5 linked regions of the Canis lupus familiaris genome follow. The protein of the gene in region 3 purifies or fractionates together with the protein of the main gene of each other region. This does not show direct contact. Links are inferred from orthologs where the notes say so. Each region holds a gene or a part of one and is shown on either strand. Other genes may lie near its edges.

Evidence for each region.
Region 1: the proteins of PRKAA1 (region 3) and USP10 purify together in Homo sapiens (affinity purification with western blotting; 3 studies listed by BioGRID). This does not show direct contact. The link is inferred for Canis lupus familiaris from reciprocal best matches to the Homo sapiens genes PRKAA1 and USP10.
Region 2: the proteins of PRKAA1 (region 3) and PARS2 purify together in Homo sapiens (affinity purification with mass spectrometry; 3 studies listed by BioGRID and IntAct, with this or other methods). This does not show direct contact. The link is inferred for Canis lupus familiaris from reciprocal best matches to the Homo sapiens genes PRKAA1 and PARS2.
Region 4: the proteins of PRKAA1 (region 3) and FKBP5 purify together in Homo sapiens (affinity purification with mass spectrometry; 3 studies listed by BioGRID and IntAct, with this or other methods). This does not show direct contact. The link is inferred for Canis lupus familiaris from reciprocal best matches to the Homo sapiens genes PRKAA1 and FKBP5.
Region 5: the proteins of PRKAA1 (region 3) and PRKAG2 purify together in Homo sapiens (affinity purification with mass spectrometry; 8 studies listed by BioGRID and IntAct, counting the BioPlex papers as one, with this or other methods). This does not show direct contact. The link is inferred for Canis lupus familiaris from reciprocal best matches to the Homo sapiens genes PRKAA1 and PRKAG2.

The regions. Positions count from the first base shown.
Region 1 is NC_049226.1:68,236,938-68,240,879, reverse strand, and holds part of USP10 (ubiquitin carboxyl-terminal hydrolase 10), read left to right. Parts: intron 1-1,758; coding exon 1,759-1,903; intron 1,904-3,636; coding exon 3,637-3,702; intron 3,703-3,942. UniProt on the Homo sapiens protein: Hydrolase that can remove conjugated ubiquitin from target proteins such as p53/TP53, RPS2/us5, RPS3/us3, RPS10/eS10, BECN1, SNX3 and CFTR.
Region 2 is NC_049226.1:54,855,469-54,859,991, forward strand, and holds the start of PARS2 (probable proline--tRNA ligase, mitochondrial), read left to right. Parts: upstream 1-1,385; 5' UTR 1,386-1,842; intron 1,843-1,848; exon of another isoform or gene 1,849-2,047; intron 2,048-4,523. UniProt on the Homo sapiens protein: Mitochondrial aminoacyl-tRNA synthetase that catalyzes the specific attachment of the proline amino acid (aa) to the homologous transfer RNA (tRNA), further participating in protein synthesis.
Region 3 is NC_049225.1:69,495,343-69,499,975, forward strand, and holds the start of PRKAA1 (5'-AMP-activated protein kinase catalytic subunit alpha-1), read left to right. Parts: upstream 1-1,659; coding exon 1,660-1,786; intron 1,787-2,217; exon of another isoform or gene 2,218-2,231; coding exon of another isoform or gene 2,232-2,355; intron 2,356-2,431; exon of another isoform or gene 2,432-2,565; intron 2,566-3,037; exon of another isoform or gene 3,038-3,169; intron 3,170-4,633. UniProt on the Homo sapiens protein: Catalytic subunit of AMP-activated protein kinase (AMPK), an energy sensor protein kinase that plays a key role in regulating cellular energy metabolism.
Region 4 is NC_049233.1:4,937,798-4,941,739, reverse strand, and holds part of FKBP5 (peptidyl-prolyl cis-trans isomerase FKBP5), read left to right. Parts: coding exon 1-130; intron 131-1,080; coding exon 1,081-1,195; intron 1,196-3,942. UniProt on the Homo sapiens protein: Immunophilin protein with PPIase and co-chaperone activities. Component of unligated steroid receptors heterocomplexes through interaction with heat-shock protein 90 (HSP90).
Region 5 is NC_049237.1:16,509,964-16,514,519, forward strand, and holds the start of PRKAG2 (5'-AMP-activated protein kinase subunit gamma-2), read right to left. Parts: upstream 3,050-4,556; 5' UTR 2,495-3,049; coding exon 2,381-2,494; exon of another isoform or gene 2,253-2,380; intron 1-2,252. UniProt on the Homo sapiens protein: AMP/ATP-binding subunit of AMP-activated protein kinase (AMPK), an energy sensor protein kinase that plays a key role in regulating cellular energy metabolism.

The sequences.
Region 1 (3,942 bases), on a different chromosome or scaffold from region 3:
TCTTTCTTGTTCCTGCTGCAGTTAGCTGTGGACTCTGGGGAGGGCACAGATCAGATAGCTGGGGAGAGTGTGAAGATGAGGATGTGGATTAGGTGGCTCGTTTTGGATAGCAGGTGGAGGAAGGATGCAGGAGAGAAGAAGCATTTTGGTGGAGCCTTGAAGAAAATGAAACACTCCATGATGAGGGTGGTGTGTTACCAGATTAAGAGCGAAAACACTCAGAAAAGCAGATGTTTGAGAGAGGAAGATTTTGGACAGCTTGTATGGGGTGGGAATATCTGGAAAGAGCAAGTATCACGTTTTCTGGAATGTGAATTCTTTTAAATTTACTTTCTAAAATACTGAGTTTAATGTTCCTGTATTTTAAGGTCATAAGGTTTTTTTTTTCCTGTGGGAGAATGATGAAGGTGCATGGGAAAATATTATGTAAAATACTTACTGTATAGAAAAGGTCTGGTTTTCTTGGGCGAAGAAAAGTGTCTCAGTTTGTCTGGAAACCGAAAACACACAGAAGAATTTCAGATTAGCCACTTAATTAATTGCCTGAAAGCTTGAGGTCAGAATCTTGGGTTGCCAGTCCTGAGAAGCATCCTAGAGACACGTTTGTCCAACTCTCGATTCACAAATGAGGGAGCTGGAGATCACTTGTCAGAATCCCGGTTTTTAACTGTTGAGCTGTAGCCACACTTCTTCATTGTTCACATGTTCTTGTTGGCTATGGAGACCCCAGGTTGCAGACACAGGATAGGAATCTGGAGACATGTTGGGTGGTCCCACCCTTGGGATCGGAATCTGGGTAGGAAGCCAGGTGCCCATTAAGATCCCTCCATCCAGATGTGTATGTGGTCTTCTGAAAGCTTTCTTGGTTTCTTATCTCTTTTGGATTGTGACTGAAACAAATATTTCTACCAAAAGTATCCTTCATATAAATACAGGAAGCATCAAAGTGTTTATAAGTACAAGGAGCATGGGCAGCCCTGATGGCTCAGCAGTTTAGCGCCACCTTCAGCCTGGGGTGTGATCTGGAGACCCGAGATCGAGTTCCATGTCGGGCTTTCTGCATGGAGCCTGCTTCTCCCTCTGCCTGTGTCTCAGCCTCTCTGTCTGTCTGTTATGAATAAATAAATAAAATCTTAAAAAAAAATAAGTACAAGGAGCAGTAGGATAGTAAACAAGGGGAATAAGAATTGTTTGCAAGGATGTGTTTTAATGAAAAGCAGCATTCATTAGACCTGTGAAAACATGTAAGGAGCATATAAGTTGATAAAACTGAAACTTATAAAAACTAATGGCTAGAATTGATAGCTTTTTGGTTATTAAGAACACCCATTTCGAGCTCTGGCCTTAGTTTGATTAATGCTATGGGACTTACTAAAGAAAGCATGTTAATACATACATAATGCAAAATACTGCTGCTAAGTTCGTTTTTAAATTTTTGTGCCAGTTCATGAATGTCATAAAACAAAGGTTCTGAACATGGAGTTCACCCACAGGCTCAGGGATCCATGGGATCTTCTGCAATTGTGTTTATAGGGATGTATCCTTTTTTCTCAGAGGAATGTCAGTAGCTCTCAAAAGGCCCTTGAGCAGAATGTTAGATTATCAGAAGCTCCCTGAACCCAGCAAGGGTTGAGCAGTGCTGCCCTGGAACCTCAGGCCATGGGCCCTCAGAGGGGGGCCTTGTGTGACAGGTATGCATCTGCTGCATGAAGTGTGTAAAGTGAGGTGTGTCCTGTCCTGCTCTGCCTTGTGCCTCAGGTGGAGATAAGCCGACGAGTAACTCTGGAGAAGCTCCCTCCTGTTCTTGTGCTGCACCTGAAACGGTTTGTTTACGAGAAGACTGGTGGATGCCAGAAGCTCATAAAAAATATTGAATATCCTGTGGACTTGGAAATCAGTAAAGGTAACACACGTGGGGAGCGAAAGCATTCATGGTGACAGTTCTCCTGGGAATCAGTGAGCATGGCTCTTAGCGTTTCTCTGTAATGTCGAGAGTAAGGAAGTTCTCTGTCATGACTTGTTGGTTTTAAATTTCTCAACTTACAACAGACCTTGGTATTAAAATTGGCACCAAAGTAGCTCTTGAAAAATAAAGGCAAAAATGAATAAACCATATAATCCTACTAAGTTAGAAAAAGGAGATTTTTGTTCATCAAAGTGAGCACCATTTTCCTAGAAATGTTTTATGGGTTAGTGGTACAAAACAATTTTCTTTTTACTAAGTGTTAACTGCCTAGAACAGCCTGGTGAAATGAACTTTTTCAGTGAAGTGAGAGAATGTTGCCCATAGGCCACTGGGGGTCCCTCCAACCTCACATTGCAGTGACACTGGGTCAGATCAGTGGCATTCTCTCTGCCACAAGCATCTGTCAGGTACTCAGAGCTCAGCAGCATCAATGATTTTCACCAAAGCCTCAAGTTCAGGTTGTCTTGGTGAAAGCACAGCTTAAAGAGGAAAACTTTCCTTGAAAGCTTCAGGATTCGTGAAAAAGATGCTGTGTGGTTCTGGGCTTGATTGGGAACAAACTAGAGGCTTGTTCTAGTCAACTGGGAAACAGGAAAGAGATTGTGGGAATGTCATCTCTGGGTTTTGCAGAGGAACAAAGCTGTTGCCTTCCCCTCGTCTTCCATCCCTGCCACACAGTATTGCCACATTCCACTCCTTCCCAAGCCTGCTGACCAGAATCCCAGACAGAGGAGCTGCATTTCCATAGCCAGTCTTCAGCTGCTAGCTCTGACTCCTGTCCCAGGGTATTGTCCCATCCACCTTCACACTTTGAACTGCTTCATTCAAAGGCAGCACATTTTCCTGATCCCATTTGAGAACCAAAGGAGAAGGAATGCCAGCTGAGAATCATATACTGGGTCGTCCATGCTGTTGTGCCTTGGCTGTCAGGGAATGAGGAGCACAGGCTGAGCCCAACAGGGCAGCCTGTGCCCTGTACTCCTGCAGCTTCCCTCACGCCCAGATTACCTGTCTGGACTGACTAGATGGATTTTATGTTTATATCTTTTCTTGTTAGATGTATTTTTAGATCACCTGCTACCTTAAATGCTTTCTAGAAAGAGAAATGAGTTAAGGGAGGACCAGAGACCCTACCCTGGTGTGGGTTGTGGGTGGGGGATGGGAGGGACCAGCCACTCATGGCTGTGACAAGGGTCCATCTGCAGAGGGACCGGGGGCCCCCGAGGACAGGGCTGCCCACCTGCCCAGCTGATGGGCCATTGCCTCTCTGGTGAGATCGTCGGACTGTCACACAGTGCAAGTTTTGTGGTCTTATGTGTAAAACATTTCGTTCTTAGGTTTCCTGGGGCTGTTTTATTTCTAAGCGGGCAGCTTTCTTCTTTTCCAAATATCTGCTTTTAAGGGGTTTCTAGCATGAGCTCCTTGGGACCGGTATATTCTTTCTGAACGGACTGGTTGCTGGTTATGTGCATTGCTGTACCATGAGGCTGGTCCCCCACCCCCCACCACAGGCAGGGCTTGTGCACGTGAGGGGATACAGTGGGGTTGGTTTTCCTGGTCTGCCAGGTGGCGGATGTGAATGGGGACCATTGTCATCTCTTTGCTCTGTCATTCTGAGACTTTCTTTAAGTGCTTTTATAGATTGCAGCTGTTGGTATTTTGTTTTTCAGAACTGCTTTCTCCAGGGGTTAAAAATAAGAATTTTAAATGCCACAGAACCTATAGGCTATTTGCAGGTAAGTAAATTTGTATATTATTTCCTTATTAAAGTAGTGATAAAATGCCACCTAACAGAGAGAATAGACTCCTCTACTGGTGTCCCCATGGACTTGATAATTCAGTAAATCTTTGGAAATATGTTTGTCTTGACATTCGATGTTTGGAATAGGACAGAATTTTTGGCTCTAAGCAGGATCCAGTCCTCATTCGGCATCATTACTGTCTTTGAGTTAGACGTGTGAATGTGAGGCCACTGT
Region 2 (4,523 bases), on a different chromosome or scaffold from region 3:
AACTTTGTTCTATTCCCAGTTTCTCCAAGTGGTTGGTATGTGGTAGCTAATCAAAAAAGTATTTTGAGGGATCCCTGGGTGGCTCAGCGGTTAAGCCACTACCTTTGGCTCAGGGCCTGATCCTGGAGTCCCGGGATTGAGTCTGATGTCGGGCTCCCCTGCATGGAGCCTGCTTCTCCTTCCTCTTCCTGTCTCTGCCTCTCTCTGTGTCTCCTATGAATAAATAAAATCTTTAAAAATTAAAATATATATATATATTTGGGAATGAACATTTGATTTAGTGTCTTAAAAACTGTCTTGGGCTTTGTAATGAAGGTATTTTTTTTTCTACTTAAAAATTTTAAATGGGGGGGGGGGGTTACCTGGGTGGCTCAGTGGTTGAGCGTCTGCCTTTGGCTCAGGTCATGCTCCCGGAGGCCCAGGATCAAGTCCCACGTCAGGCTCCCTGCAGGAAGCCTGCTTCTCCCTCTGCCTGTGTCCCTGCCTCTCTCATGAATAATTACATAAAATCTTTTAAAAAACATTTTTTTTTCTAATGGGGGTGCCCAGTGGCTCAGTCGGTCAAGCGTCTGCCTTCAGCTCTGATCACGACCGCAGAGTCCTGGGATGGAGCCCAGAATTGCATGGGGCTCCTCGCTGAGCAGGGAGTCAGCTTCTCCCTCTTGCTCTGTCGCTCCCGATTTGCGCTTTCTCTTGCTCGCACAGTCTCAAATAAATAAATAAAATCCTTAACAATTTTAAATGCATTTAAGTGGAAAGCCTGGGGCAGCCCCGGTGGCGCAGCGGTTTGGCGCCGCCTGCAGCCCGGGGCGTGATCCTGGAGTCCCGGGATCGAGTCCCACGTCGGGCTCCCTGCATGGAGCCTGCTCCTCCCTCTGCCTGTGTCTCTGCCTCTCCCTCTCTCTATGTGTGTCTATGAATAAATGAATAAAATCTTAAAAAAAAAGTGGAAAGCCTGTGAAGTCCCAGGGTAGATTCCGACCGGAAAGGCTCACTGCCGGCGGCCGTCCCACTCCAAGAGCGGGGCGCCACGCCACGCCACCCACGCCGCGCCAGGCTCTTACCATAGAGTTACACCTCCCCAAGTCCTAGAGGGGACTTCCGGAACGGTAATTTACTCCTCGCTGTCCCGGTCTATCTATGGTCGTGGAGGAGAGCGGGGCTCTAGCTCCCTCGCTCAACTTCCGGAAGGCCTGTCCCGCGCGCCTGGCTCCCCGTGGGAGCGGCTCTCTGATTGGCACGGCGGCCAGGAGGCGGGGCTTGGCACCCCGCTGGCGCAGGCGCGTTGGGCCGGCGCGGCGGGCGCGCGGGCGGGCGGCGTTGACTGCGGCCTGGGCTGGTGAGCTTGGGTGGCCGCGAGGATCGGGCGGGCCCGGTGGGGCCGGCGGGGTGGAGAGCGCGCTCGGGCTCGGGCTCGGCTGTGAGCGCGGAGACCGAGGACCGCGGGGGCGGCGCGTCCACGTGCATCCCGTCGCGGCTGTGCGGCGCGGTCGCAGTCGCCTGAACTCTCGGATAACAGCGCTTCCTGCGTGGAGGACCTCGGGCCTTGGGGGCCACGGCGTTCCTGGGAGCGCCAGCCCTGCAGGGACCCGCTGGGAGCGCGTGGGGGCCGGGCCGACGCCCCCTCCCCCCATCTTACGTGTGGGGAGACCGAGACCCCGAGACCGAAGTTGGTTGAGCAGGGCCAGCCGGCCAGTGAAGGCCGGGCCGCGTCGGGAGAACGAGGTCTGGGGCTCCTTTGCTGTCCCAGACGGACACCGTGGAAACCGGGAGGCGGGGAGCTCCTTCCCGTGCTCCTCTGCTCCTCTGCAGTGACCTGGCCTCCCCGAGCTTGCCTCTTGGGTGAGCTGCGCAGGAGGGCAATAGCTAGCACGGTGGCGCTCGCTCTGTACCAGGAGCCTCACGTACAGCTTTGCTGGTTGGATTGCAGGCCCGCGTCAAGTTCACCCTGCAAGAGGCCTGTGCCTCGAGCACCCGAGCAGCTGCTCCGTGAAAGTTTGTTGAATGAATGACTGAGTGACTCAGAGGCTCTTTGCCAGAGTCTGAGGTGCAGGACACATTAATTCCTTTTTTTTTTACTGGGGGCACCTGGGTGGTTCAGTGGTTGAGCATCTGCCTTCGGCTCAGATGGTCATCCCCGGGTCCTGGGATCGAGTCCCACATCGGGCTCCCTACGAGGAGCCTGCTTCTTCCTCTGCCTATGTCTCTGCCTGTGTGTCTCTCATGAATAAATAAATAAAACGTTTTTTTAAAAAAAGATTTTATCTCCTACAAGAGAATGCACATAAGCAGAGGGAGCAGGAGAGGGAGAAGCAGGCTCCCCACTGAGCAGGGAGCTGGGTGATGCGGGACTCCGTCCTACGACCCTGGGATCATGACCTGAGCCAAAAGCAAATGCTTAACGGATTGAGCCACCCAGATTGCCAGGTCCCCTGACACATTCATTCCTATACTGCTTTCAAGGTACTGTCTGTAGATAACCTTGAACATTTGAGACGAGTAATTTATTCCCCCATCTTTGTAAGCTGAGGGGTCTGAGGACAGGGACACATTGGGGGTGAGGACAGAAGGCTTAAGGCTTTTATTTAAACTACCTGGATAATTGCCGCATTGCACTCCTTCACTTTGCTTTTCATTCACTTTTGATCAGCAAGCGTTATTAGTAGTAGCCCAAATATTAGGCGTTGTGCTAGACCCTGAAATCTGACAATATAGAAAATATCATGAACTCCTCATTTGATGGAGGAATAGGACGGGAAGCATTGCTCACTCCCAGTGCCTGGGAACAGCAGTTTCTCAGAAAAGTTTTTGAAAATTATTCCGGTGCAGTAGACTATGAAGAGGTGGGGGCACAGAGAAGGAAGTGATCATCTCTGTTTCGAGGGGTTGGAGAAGCTTCTTGCGAAAAGGAGCCTTGAATGATGCAGCTGACTGGGGTGAAGCTGGCCTCTTCGGGAATGATGAGCAGTTTGGAGCATGTTAGGAGAGTGGTAGGATAAGAAGCTGGAAGAAGCTGGAAGTGTGTTAGAATCAAAATATGAAGAGGCTTCCTCTGGAAGTACCATTTCAAAAAAATTATGATGGGGAGCCATTAATGGGTTATAAGCAAGGGAGTGATTGGATTAGCTGTCTTTTTAGCTGTAATATAGAGACAGGACAGACGGGTTCAAGAGTCATTCAGTTCAGTCATTGATGGGCATGTATTGAGGATCAACTATGTGCAGGCATCATGTGGGATGTTACTTGGAATAAGACAGATATGGTTACTGCCCACGTGGAGTTTATAGTGCTTTTCCCAGAGTGGTCCCTGGGCCAACAGTAGCAGCATCACCTGGAAACGTGTTGGAATTACAGTTTCTCTGCCCACACCCCAGGCCCACTGAATCAGAAACTCTGGGGCTGAGGCCCCACAATCAATGTTTTAACAAGTCATCCAGGTGATTCTGTTGCTCACTTAAGTTTCACAACCACTGGGCTACTGTAATGGACCAAGCAGTTGTGAGGAGCTAACCCAGGGTAGAGGCAGTAAGAGCCAGAAAAGAGGGGGGTGGACTTGAGAGGAAGATCAAAGATGGGCTCATCTGCTTTAGGAGGAGTCAATGGTGAAGGAGTTTTTGGTGTGGGCCCCTGGCCTGAGGTGGGACCTGAAATGAGGGAGCCGGATGTGAACCATGTGTTCTTAACCTTCGGGGCCTGCACTTTTCCACTCAGGCACATTAGAGCTCTGTGGTAGTGCCTCCCAACCTGCCTCCGGCCACAGGCCACGTAGATGATAATATTTGTACCGTGCATGGGGGAAATGGGTGAGGCTGCCCGAGGTGGCAGGGGACCAGCCGGAGGCCTTGAAGCCACTGGGAAGCTATGGGGGGCCGCCCAGGGGTTCCCCAGAGCTGAGAGGAGTCAGCAACCCATTGCCAGCATACTGCAGGGCAGCCCTACTTCATGGGAGATGCTAAAAGGTAGCGGCGCTCGCTGAACTTGGCAATATAAATCAAGAACCTTAAAAGAGTTCATATGTGTTGACTCAGTGATTCCATTCCTGAGAATCTCTGCCAGATGTACAACAAACAAACAAAAGCCTTCTGTTCATTGTAGATTATATATAACAGAGAAAATGACAACTCTCTGTAGTAGGAGAATCATGTCTGATATGCTCAGTAGAATGTTGTACTGACATCAAGAATGTGAGCATTTTGTAGAATCCTAGAGAAACACATATGCTCATTCAGAAGACAGTGTCTAGGAAAGCCCTGCCCCATGCTGAGTGGCAAGCAAGTTAGATGTGGTCCTTGGCCGCACAGAGCTGAGTGTCCGGGGGCAGCAACCCGAGCGGTCACTCTGAAAGTGATCAGGCTCTGAGAGTATGGGCTGCTGTGGGAGAAGCTGGCCTTCTGGGCATGGGAGTGGGACCAGGAAGGCATCCTGGAGGACAGGATGGTGATCCCAAGACTGGGGGGATAAGTCGATGTTGGTATGCAAGGGGCACATGTGTTAAAGAGTGAGCATGGTACAGCTGGAGCGTA
Region 3 (4,633 bases):
TAGAGATCCAAGATGCCTGAGATGCAGAAACTCAGGAGGCAACAAGTAAAGATGAAGAGACCACAGAGCAAAAACAGTTACCACTGCCCACTCCCCAAGTATGTTAGTAATCAGACTTCTTAACTTTATGGCCCTTCAGAATATGTGCAGTCCATAATACATCAGAAACTGATTATCCAGGGCTAGTTGTAACTGTTGATGTAATTCTAAACTCAAGCTTTTGCTTCTCTTGCAGTACTTAATGCATGTTATTTTGCTTTCATAAACAGAATATAACAGTCAGACGAGCTGGGTAACTTTGATTAGGTACAAAAAGGATAATACTTTTAGTCTTACTTTTTTATATTATTTTCTCGATGGGTTCAACTCTGCCCATTGACACTGGCCCAAACGCTATCACACTGCAAAACTGAGATCGTATCTTGTTTTTTTGGACACTTCACTTTGCTCACGTCAGTGGAATTCAACTGAGTAGTGAACTGGCTTAAACATTTAACACAGGGACGCCTGGGAGGCTCAGCGGTTGAGCACCTGCCTTTGGCTCAGGGTGTGATCCGAGGATCGAGTCCCACATCGGGCTCCTTGTGGGGAGCCTGCTTCTCCCCCTGCCTGTGTGTCTGCCGCTCTCTGGGTCTCTCCTGAATAAATAAGATCTTTTAAGAAATTTAATACCAACAAGCATATTTCAACTCCTCCCCCCCGCCCCCCCCCCCCCGTGACAGGCCACATCCCATTTGTATAGATGATAGACTAAACTGTACTCATCGCAAGTACGGTAAGTATCTGTCGACTGACTTGGTTGATGCAACCCTAAGCCTCGACTTCAGTTCAAAGTCTACATTTTACCGGAAACCTAAAAATGTTAATTCCTACGTGTGTAACACCCCATTCCTGAGCACACATACCGTTCGCAGGGTTCCCAACCGGCCCTTTCCCACGGGGCTTGCCTGGGGAAGGAAACTTGAGAAAAGCCTCCAGGAGCAGGAAAGCCCGACGACGCCACTAGGGCTGTCGAGGCGCCCGGCGGCAACGGACGGGCTCACGGCACCAAGCGCAGCCGCAGCCGCAGCCGCAGCCGCAGCCGCAGGGGACCGGTGCCGAGGGGGCTCCGTCGGAGATGCTCTCCGTCGGGGCACCTCCCGGGGGCTTCTCAGGTCCATCCGCACCGCAAAAATGAGCAGGCTGGGTGGGAACCGGCGGCCCGGCGCAGTCCCCGGCCGCGTCCCACCGCCCGCGGCGCCGGAGAGCCGCCCGCCCGGCCCCGCCCCGCCCCGGGAGTCGCCGGCAGCGGGGTCGCCGCGGGCAGGACCGGCCGCCGGGGAGCGCAGCCGCCCGCTCCGCAGCCCCGGGGCCCGGGCAGGGCGGGGCGCGGCGCGGCGGCGCGAGGAACCGGGGCTCCGGGGCTCCGAGGCCCCGCGGCCCCGCCGGCGACCCCCGCCGCCCCGCCAGGGGGAGCGTGCGCGCCGGCGCCGGGGCGGGGGAGCGCCGAGGGGGGCGGGGGCCCGGCGGGCGCGGCTGGCGGCGGCGCGGCGGCTCGGCGGCCCGGAGGCCCGGAGGCCCGGCGGCCCGCCCGCGTCCCCTCCCCTCCCCTCCCCGCCCCCGCCCCCGCCCCCGCCCCGGCGCGGCCTGCCCGCCCCCTCCGCCCCCTCCCGCGGCGCCATGCGCAGGCTCAGTTCCTGGAGGAAGATGGCGACGGCCGAGAAGCAGAAACACGACGGGCGGGTGAAGATCGGCCACTACATCCTGGGGGACACGCTGGGGGTCGGCACCTTCGGCAAAGTGAAGGGTGAGGACCGCGGGGGCGAGGGTCGGCGGCGGCCGGCGACCCGCGCGCCGCGCGCCGTCCGCGCCTCTCAGCCCCCGCCCCCCGCCCCGGCGTCCCTGCCCCCCTGCCCCGGGCTCGGCAGCCCCCGGCCTGGCTGCGGCGGCAGCGGCGTCCGAGCGGCCGCGGGACTGCGGCGCGACCCTGCCTGGCCGCGGGGGGGGGGGGGGAGGGGGCGGTCGCCATGGCGACGGCGCCGCGGCCCGAGGGGCTCGGCTCGGCTGGGCGCTGCGTGGGGCGGGGCGGGGCTGCGGAGGTGCGGAGGTGCGGAGGTGCGGACTCGCCCAGGTGGGGCCGGCGGGGCTGCGCCGCCCGGGGGGCCGGGGCGGGGGGCGGGGGTTGGGGGGCGGGGGGCCGGGGCGAGGGCCTCCCGGGGCCCGCGGCCGCTCCCTCGGCTCCGCGCCAGCCCATGGCCCCCCTGGCGGCGCCCGGGGTCGTCCGCGTTTCCGTCCCCTCTAGGAGGTTCTCCCCTTACCTGCCGGGGCCGATTCTTAGTGTGCGATGGGTGCCCCCTCCTCAGCCTCCCCCAGAAAGTAAGCTTGCTTTGGGGTAGCTTACGGAATTTTTTTTTTTTTTTTTTAAAGGGCCATCTTGTTGGGAAGGATGACTAATTTTTGTTCGGAGCAGTTAATGAGTATAAAACTGGTCCTGTATTTGCGATGCACGGTTTATGTTCTGAACGCAGACTCCGTGCCTTCAAGTGTTTCTGAATTACCAGTTTTGCAGACTCTGTGCCAAACTTGGTAGGTAGTGCAGATGTTGCCCCCAGACGGTATTTATTAGCTCATTAACGTAGTTTGTTTCCACTTATTTTCACAGGATATGTGTGTTTTAATAACTTAGCGCACATCATTTGAACTTTTTTTAAGGAAAGTATGGAATCTCTTACCCTTGTGTTTCAACACAGTATTCTAGAAATAACACATTTGATCACGAGTCCACCAATTCTGGCACAAAAAGTTTAATTGCAAATTTTGTGAGGCATAAATATTTTTTCTTTAAGATATTTGACCTATTAGGGATGTAGAGGAAGGAAGCATGGAACTGATAAATATAATTCATGCATTGGCTTTGGATAAATAACCTATGACTTGCATATACCAAGCTCTTGGTAAATGTTTGACTTGAAAGAAAAAAAGTTGTGAAAGTCTGAACAGTGAATTAACTGAGCCTTGCTTTACCGGAGCTAAATAAACATTTTCTGATTTTATCTAGGGATGGAAGAGGAGAACCCTTCCTTCTCTTGCTCTTTCTGAGTCATAGAACTGGAAAATTGCTGTATAGCCCACAGGGAAGCAACTGCCTAAGCCTTCTTATGAAAATCAGCAAGGCCAACAATGTAAGAAAGTAAGAAGCAAATGCCAGAATAGGGTAATAAGAGCCATCAGGGTGGGTCTATATTAGGCCAGTAAGATGTCTCTGTGCCCTCAAAGTTATTTTTAGCTATGTTGTCAGTCTCTTTACTTGTTAGCAATTACTAACTGCTTTTAGTTGACAAATATTTGTAAGAAGTGCTCATTAATGCCCCAGAATAGTGATGACAGTCTTGATGCCCTTATTCCTCCCAGGGTTCTGCTTGGATTAGGATGCTCATCATTCTAATAAAGACCTGTGTAATTCAGGTCTCATATTTGTGTTTGCTAGGTAGCTTTTGGCATGGTGGTAAATAGGAAAGCAAGAGGAGATTTTTCATTTTCTGAATTTGATCTGTGATGTCTGTGACAAGAATCCTTCCAGTGAGTGCTGTTCCTTAGCCTTCATTCTTCCACATGTGCCTCTCTTGAATACTAAATACCATCAACCTCTCCTCTTGTATCATAGAAAAGCTAATATTCATCAAAGAATCAAAGGTTTCATTGATAGGGTTAAATTTGTTCATAAATACATCAGTTGATACTGGTCAAAATCCTCATCCAGTGCATTTTTAAGTTGTCAAGCAGTTGTGATGCTTTTGCTCCAAGTATAGTAATAGAAAATCAACCTAGCCAAGAATATCTCTGTGCTTCTCTCTCCAAAGCACAGAAGCTTCAGCATACCTCTCACGAGTCTCATGGGCTCATCTAGTCCTTGGGACCAGGGATGCCTTGTGCCAATTGGTTTAGGCTTATGTTCCTAAGTAGGTACTCGCAAGGGAGATAGTGTTACCCATGGTGGAATATGGCCCATTGTTGAGTGTGTGTGTGGTGAGGGCATCTTATTCTGATATACTTAGTGGAGGGAGACAGGATAAATACCTATACAGAATGGGTATTAATTGTTAGGAGAGAGAGAGGTGGACATAGATGCTCATTTGAGCAGGTTAAAACAGCTGTTACAATGGTGGTGTTGGTAACTTACACTAGCCTTAATTTGACAGGAATTCTTATGAATGATATGATTAGCCATGTATTTCAATGGAGATAGTTTGGAGTAGATAGAGCTTTTAAAATTAGTTACACGTTGGTAAATATAACATAGGAAAGGAATCTAACAGAATATTAGATATTAGATGATATTAATCTACAATATCATCTAATATTAGATGATATTGATACACAGACAAATTCCCACTATGATATTATATGCTTAGAAGAAATTTTATTTTGGGGGGCAAAGGAAACTATAAATTTGCAGTGATATTTTGTTTCCTATTACAGGCTAAAAAAGTCATTTGGTAACAATGATATCATTGTGAGGGGAAAGTTTAAACAGACTACTAAAGTTGGTTTGGGATTATGCTTGAATTATCTTTTATATTTCCAAATTACCCTTTTCTAATCCTGGCTATCAGGGTGTTAGTCTCTATTCCCTTGCAGGATCCACTCCCCTTTC
Region 4 (3,942 bases), on a different chromosome or scaffold from region 3:
GGCATGGGACATTGGGGTGGCCACCATGAAAAAAGGAGAGATCTGCCATTTACTGTGCAAACCAGAATATGCATATGGCTCTGCTGGCAGTCTCCCTAAAATTCCCTCGAATGCAACTCTCTTTTTTGAGGTAAGTATGTGTGTGATGTTGCCTTTTTAGCATCTGTTCTACTATAGTGCTGGCTCTGAAGCAACAGGCAGTGGAACAAGGAGCTAAGCTTGCTATTGAGGATCAGATCCGACTTATTTATTTTGGAGCTTGGCTTCTTGAATTGTTTCCCACAAACCCAAGGGGTGTGTGCCAATGCTTTCTTAGAAACGTGTTTCTGGCACAGAAAAGTTATATCCAAATAAACAAAAGACACCAGGCTTGAGAAATAAAGGTTCTGGTCAGTGGTGTGAGTATAACATACCCAAAATTGACCAGAAAACAGGTTGGAAATGTGGGAGGTAAGTGTTGAAATGTACTGAAACCACATTGTAAGATATTTTCATGTTATACAGGCTTACTGTTTGTCACAGATCTCACTTCTTCATTAGAAGCTGTAGGTGGTGATAATGTTATTCATCCTGTATTGAATTATATATATATTTGTCAAGATCTGACTTAAAAAATGAAGGGAGGAAATGCCTGAAACATCATAATTAGGTAAAAAAAAACACCTTTAGTTGTCCATAAGCCTGATTCATAGGATTTATTTTTACATTTAAAAAGGGAATTCCATGAATCTGGGCTGGAAAGGTGGTGGCCTTTAGAGTCCGACAAAATAGTTCTGGGCCAGCACCTTGGAGCTCTGGCTTTTTGCCCACAAGGCAGCCCTCCTAGTGTTTCCTGTCTGTCTTTGCACTGCAGTCCCACAGGATGCAGTCCTAGACATTATCATTACATGAAGGCTCTTTCCAGGTATTGAAAGTGCAGTGTTCTTTTTTTCCTACTTTTCCAATAACTGAGATACATAGATAAATATAAAAGAGTTTTATTTTGTAAAATGAAAGGAGAATTGGTTGCCCTTGTTTTTAAGTATGTTAAATTGGCTCTGTTTGGTTTTTTCTCAGCCAAATCCTTTTTTTCCTTTCTAGATTGAGCTCCTTGATTTCAAAGGAGAAGATTTATTTGAAGATGGAGGCATTATCCGAAGAATCAAACAGAAAGGAGAAGGATATTCAAACCCAAATGAAGGAGCAACAGTAGAAAGTAAGTATCGCTGTGACAGTGAACTGGTCCTTAAAAATTGGGTTCCATTTATAGGGAGAAAAGGGAGGTTTCTTTCTAAAAATCTATTTATAGCAATAAACAATTGAATATAGCCCGAGAATAGTTTTAAATTCAACATTTATTTAATACTGACTTTATTTGGTAAATATTTATCTAGCATGCCCATGCCAGGTACTGTGCGAGCTTCTGCAGACCCAGAAGGTGAGGAAAAGGTAATCTTATCCATCAAGTCCCAAGTCTATTATGGACTCCTTGGTGTGCCAGCAACTATATTAGCTGCCTTACATATTTATTCATTTATTTCTTAAAATAACCTTACGAGATAAAATTTATTATCTCCAGATGAGGAAAATGAGTTCAGGAAAGTTATATAAATTGCACAGAGTACAGAGTTCTAAACAGAGCAGTTAGATTATAATGCCATTCAGAGCTCTCAAACCCATCTCACTGGCTTTCCTCAAGGTCAAAAAGTTTATTTTAGTTAGATCATAATTGATAATAGTGTTCATTCTATTCTGTGTAGGAAATCTGGGTTCAGGTTGCTTTGCCATTTACTGGATGACTTAAAGCTATTCTGTGTTTTTATTTGCTGTGTTGGGAATAAGGAGATACTGTCGAGGACTGGGATACCCAGTCACTCTTTGTTCCTCCCAGAGCCTGTTCTGTATACCATTATGTACATCACTTGCCACTTTATGCTGTAATCAGTGTTTACCCATTTCCCCAGTATGCACCTTGAGGACCAGAATCTTTCTTCATCTTTTTGTTTCCAGCATCACCTACAGGGCCTTACATGCATTTGGTGTTCGGTAGATGCTTTCTGCGTGGATAGATGTTTGAAAGATGCCATTCATTTGCTTCATAAAGCTGAAATACTTTAAAAAGGAGAGTTGTGAGAAAACAGAAATATTTCCACTAAGAAAACAATCAAAGCACTAAACAAGGGTGGCAATATGAACTATTATAAAAGGCCTATTTAAAATAGAGTCCAGGGTGCCTGGGTGGCTCAGTCAGTTGAGCATCTGCTTTCAGCTCAGGTCATGATCCTGGGGTCCTGGGATTGAGCCCCATATCAGGCTCTCTGCTCAGTGGAGAGTCTCCTTCTCCCTCTCCTTCTACCCTTCCCCCTGTTCATGTTCACTCTCTCTCTCTCTTGCTCTCAAATAAAATCTTAAAAAAAAATAAAAATAAGTTAGAGTTCCTTTGGAACAGTAAGCTAGAATGGTTGATTTTCTTATCTTTACTGTAGTATTTATTATTTGAGACCCGTGTTTCATTTTGGGGAGTCTGGAAGATTAGTTCAAATGGAGTTATTCATTTAGGTGGAAACAATTATAAATAGTATTACTATATTATTGCAGTTGAAATGTTTAGGTAGCTATCATTCATGGTAAGTTTTAGAATAAACGAAGAGGAGCTCAGATGTTAGAGAAATACATAGACCAGTAGTCAGAGAGAGGATTCTGGCTTCAGCGGACTCTAACTAACCCTTGAGTCTCTGGGCTTTAGCTTCCTTTCTTTACAGTGATCCTGTAGGTCCTGCTAGCACTGAGCATTCCATGATAGAATTCTAAATGTTTATGAAAGTCACAAGGATGATAGAAAATTATCTTTAGCAAGTACGTGAAAAGATTATCTATACTACACATTTTAATTTTTTAATGAAAAATTTCAGGCATATACAAAAATGGAGATTTTTCCCTATGTTACAGTTACTCCTCAGATTCAACAGTTTATAATGTATATTTCTAAACTGGAGGATTTTGGTAACCAAATTAAAAGGAAAAACTTTTCCCAGTTATAAACAATGCCGCAAAGCTACCACTGCAGAGTTAACTTTGGGGCAGGCTAAATTAAATCAGATCTTGCTTTTAGTAGTATTTTCAGTGGGAATCTTTATTTTCAACTTTCTGTTTTAAAATAATTTTCAACTTACAAACTGTGAAACTAGTACAGAGAATTTTCTTATATGCTTCAAGCTTTTCCTAATGTTCACATCATCCCTCACCACAGTACATTTATCAAAATCAGGAAATTAACAAGGAGCAATACTATTAACTGTTCTACAGATCTTAGGTGAGTTTCATCAGTTCCCACACTGATGTCCTTTTTCTGGTCCATGGTCAGATTCAGGATCTACTGTGATATGTAGTCTCTCCAGTCTGAGACAGTTGGATCAGTCTTTCTGTGATTTTCATTATTTTAGCACTTTTGAAGACAACCGTCTGGTTATAAAATATACTTCAGTTTGGGTTTGTCTGATTAGATTGAAGTTACACATTTTTTGGAAAAATATCATATAAGCAATAGTGTGCCTTTCTCAGTTCAATCATTATCAGGAGACATGTGATAGTGATGATGTAACTTGGGTCCCTTGGTTAAGGTGGGATCTGCCAAGTTCTGCTTTGTAAAATTTCCTATTTTTGCCTTTCTAAGTATCTCATTGGGAGAGAACTACTAGGAGATGGATGATCCCAAGATCTTCTTTTACATTACACCTTAACAGTGATTTTAGCATCCATGAATGATTTTTTTTCCCCATGGATGACTTTTGTATGCAACGGTTATAACTGTAGTATTTGCCTAATGGTGATTTTTCTATTTCCATTGTTCCTTCTTCAATGTAATTGGAATTCTGCTATAAGGAGGGGTTTCTCCTCCCCTATTTATTCAGTTGTTTATAATAGTATGGACTCATGGGAGTTTATTTTATTCTGTAGGTTATT
Region 5 (4,556 bases), on a different chromosome or scaffold from region 3:
CGTTTCTTGTAGGGGAAGGGGCCCTTGGGCTCTTTGCTGTACCTGAAAGCAGTCATCCAACCCCCAACTCATGGAGGTGTTCAGTTTGGCTCCCTGATGGGAGTAACCCAGGCTTCTCACATGTGTCTGTGCTCTGTCCACCACCTCTGGGTCTGATGTCTCTCCCAACATGCCAGTCTGCTGTCATCTCACCCACTTTCCCCTCTAAAAGCACTGGTCATCTGATGCCCTTGGGTCATGTACTAGCATTTGTCTGAATGCCAGTCTCTCACCTAGCTAGAGTCTAACTAGAGTCCAGAGTCTAACTCTAGAGGCTCTCACCTAGCCCAACACAGTCAGCAACAGGCAATTACTAGATGGTCACTGAGAAGACCCCCTGGTCCCACCAGCAAACACAAGCCCTATAAGGAGGGAGGCAGAGCCACTCCCTTGCACCCCTAGATCTCACCACCAATCAAGAGTACTAGACACGTGTTGTGGGATAATTGAGTGAACACCACTTTGGGTAAAGGATGGGTCATGCCAGAAGTTTGTTTTAAGCAGCCAAAATCACATCCAACAGCAAGAGGGGTGGTCAGTGTATTCCAACTACACTATGGCCTTTCTACTCTCACAGCATGGCCTCTTACTCCTTTTCTGGGTTCTGGATTTTATCTCACACTAACCACTAACACCACTGCTGCAGGGGCCCCACACACACACCCCACGCGGCATCTGGAACCAGCCTGGCCACTCCACCTCAGTACAATATGGCCTGCCACCAGGCGGTGTCACTTTCTTTTCTCTAGATCTCTCCTTCTAAAACCAGTTGCTCTGATGTCACCATGATAGCCATACATATATATAATACTTTAAATATGCAAGAATTTTCCCATGACTTATTTTAGTTTGACATCCCCATGAGGTAGGCAAAGCAAATTCTTATCTCTGACAAATGGGAGAAACCAAGTGAAGGGCTCGCTCAAGCAATCAGCGTTCCTGGTATATTATGCCTAATTTTTCATGTACAATATGGCTTAAAAATATCTGTTAATTATCTTAGCAACGTAAACAAAAACAACTCATTCTAAAATAGAATGCTCATTCTTGCATATTTGGGTCACCACCCTGGTAGCCACACAGCAGCTGGTTACCCGCACCCTGAGCTCCCCCGTGAAAGGGAGGGCTGGCTAACCCCTCATCTTCAGGCTGAGACCTTCTTTACCCAAACGTGTGCACACATGGAAGGCAAAGGAGCTGCGATCAATAAACACGGAAGCAAAGCACCTAATGGGTTCTGCAGTGGGAAGTGAACAGGCAGGCAGCACCACCCCAGTCCTGCCCAGTTTGCCCAGTCTGCAGCAGCTTTCAGAGAGAGGGATCCACTGTGCACTCCCACCCCGTGCCCAGGCCCGAGAACAAACAAAATCACATTCTTCATGGATTCCTCTACTCTTTGTGTATGTGTGTGCGTGTGTGCATCTGCATGTACCTGTTTGGACAAACATTCACTGGGTGGTGGTTGGGGACCAGGGGCTTGACCCAGTTGGGGGTCTCCTTAGGGCCCAAGTAAGGGCTGCGCCGCACGTCCTCCCACCTGACTTGCTCGTAGGGAGGCCGGAGAAGGCCACCACCCGCTGCTCGGGTTGCAAAACCCCAGGGTGGGCGCACGACCCCGCCCGGCGCTCCCTCGCGACGGACAAAGTAGCCGCGGACCGATCGATGCCACCAAAGTCCAGGCAGGGCTGCCGGCGTGGCCGGGGCTGAAGTTCGCTGTAGCTCTGCACGCCTGGGGGAACCCCAAGTCTCCAAAAGCCCGAAATGTGCTTCCCGGGGGCGGGGGGTGGGCAGAGCAGCTCCGGGCCCCGGGCCCCGGGCGCAGGCACACTCGGAGAGGAATCCGAGAGAAGAAAGGTCCATTTGGGGGCGCAGCTACGCACACAGCTACACACACACACACACACACACACACACACACACACACACACCCCGCCCGCTGTCCCCGCCCACCGCCCCTCCCCTGCGTCCCCGGCAGCCGCGCGCGGCTCCACCTCTCCGAAGCGCAGTCCACACCGTCCTTTTTCAACAAAACAACACTACGCACCGCCCCCAGCACCCGCACCGGGCGGGATTCGGGGCTACGCCCAGCCCGCCCCAGCCGCGCCCCGCGCCCCGCGCCCCCGCCGCTCGCCGAGCCCCGGCCGCGCGCAGCTGGGCAGGGAGACGCAGCCCGGGCTCGGCGGCCCAGCGCGACCCTGCGCCGCCACCCACCCCCGAGCGCCCGAAGTGACAGGAGGGGCACGCTTGGCGCGCGCGGGGCGTCCCGCCTTAACCGCTTCGGCGCCGGGGCGGACGACGGCGGCGCGAGGGCGGGAGCGGGGACCGCGCTGCCTGCACTCACCGGAATGTGCACTCGCAGCGAACGCCGCTTCTGGCTCGGGTTTTTCTTCCCGCCGCTCCCGCCGGGGCTGGAAACATCTTTTTTCTTCTTGGTGTCCATGGCCGCGCTTCCCATAACTTTAGCCAGAAGTTAATTCCGGGTGCCTCGTCCTGCAGTCGCGTCCTCTCCTTCCTCGCCGGCCCCCGCGGCCGGCCTCGAGCCGCGCGCTCTTCGCGACCGTCCTTCCACCCCGAGGACACGGCGCGGGGACTTCCGCGGGGAGGGAAGGTGGCGCAGGTACCTCCGGCCGCCGCCGCCGGCAGGGATGGCGGGCGGCGAGAGCGCGGAGTTCACGTGTCCCCTTCCTCCTCACGGGCTCAGCGATGCAAAACCAAAGCCAAAGGCGGTCCTGGCTCCGCTGTCCCTCCGGGTTACGCGTGGCAGAGGTCTCCCGCTGGGTGACAAAGTTTTCTTCCTTTTGCAAGGCGAAGCAACATTTTCCCCCCTCTCAGCTCCGCCCACGGACGCCCAGAGGTAATCTGAAAGGCAGGTGCAGGTGAAGACCGCAACCGGGAAGACAGCCCTCCCGTGCCCGCGCCGAGGCGGACAAGCTGGCCAGAGCCGACAGTTTGTGTGCAAATAGAATCCTCGGCCGCAGAATGCGCCAGCCGGGAGCCTGGGACTCGGCCCGTCCCCCTTCTGGGCGCGAGGGGGGAGGGGGGGGAGGGAGGAGGAGGCGTCCCCGCGAACGCCCCGGCAACTGGGCTCCGGCTCGGCTGCGCGCACGAGGGCTGGCGGCGGCTGGGCTCGCGGGCCCGGCAGGCGGAGGGCGCGCCCGCTGCGGCGCGGGGACGGGGGACGGGGGACGGGAGCCGGCGGCCAGGGGCGGCGCGGCCCGGACGCAGGCTCGGCGAGCGCGGAGCGCCCGGAGGCCGCGTGCCCCGAACAGGAAGTGCACGGCGCGCGCCGCCCGCCCGCTCCCCCCGCCGCCCCGGCCGCCCCCGGGTCTCCGGCCCCGCGGGCGGCGGCTCCCCTCCCCTTCCCTCCCCCGCGGCCGCGGCGGCGCGGGAGCGGCGGGCGCGCGGGTCTGATGCATTCCGTGTCCCAGCGCCCCTGAAACACGCCCGCGCCCCGCCCCGCCATCCCCGCAGCGGCGGAAGCCCCGGCTGGCGGGGGATGCGCACTGACCCGCACTTGTTTCCGGGACCCCCGCGGCCCCCGGGTCGGTCTCCGCCTGGCGTGCGGACTCCAGTGCGCCCCGGGGCGCGGTCGGCGTAGCTGGGGAGAGCAGCTTTTCACGGTCCCCCTGCCCCCCACCGGCTCCCGGCTTCTCCCGGGTTCGCCGAGAGCTGCGCAGTGATGGGCGGTTGGAGCCGGCGTGGAGTTCCCGGGCCGCGGCGCGGAGAGGGCCGGCAGCCCCGGGCGAGGCCGCCACGTGCCGCCGCGTGGCCGCTCGGGCGCGGCGCGTTGCCGAGGGGCTTGGGTGCTGGCGTCCCCCTGCGAGCGCCCCAGGGTGCTGCGACCTCGGCCCCCCCCGGGCGGCTGGCAGCAGGGGGAATGCGCAGTGGAGACGTCTCCTTTCCCGCCCTAGGTTCTGAGGACATAGTGACCCCAAAAGTCCCTGGAGCGCCCCGAATGCTGACGTCGGTCCCGCCTCTCCTCCTAAGCAGTAAATCAGGAAGGCCACGGGAGAAGAGCGGGCCTTAACTCCTGCCCAGGTGCGGAGACTTGAGCCCCCTCCTCAGGGGGGGAGGGGTTCGCCCGCCCGCCCTCGGGGTGGGGGCGGGGGAGGGGGGAGACGACACTCCTCTGGTGGCGCCTCCCACCCAGCCAGCCCGCAGCCAGTGGTTCCAGCCGTCTTTCCTGTGCTCTTTCCAGTCCTCCTTCCATCATCTGGTGTGAAATCCCCTGCGGTCTAGGTGGTTCCTTTTTCTCCCCTGCTCTTCAGGCCAGAATGAAGCCAGACTGGAAAATCTTGGAGGACTCCTTGCTTGACATAAATTTGAAATGCCCCGGGGCGGGGGGTGTGGGTTCAAAAATCAATTGGCCAACCTGGCCCTGCAAGGTGTGGAATTTCACACTTTGACCTTTTTCTGACTGGCTGGTGGGGGAGGGGGGGACATGAGACTGCCCATTTAGGGCCCTTTATTTCCCTAAATGCTGGAAATACTGGTTAGAAAAGGAGGGGGGGGGGGTT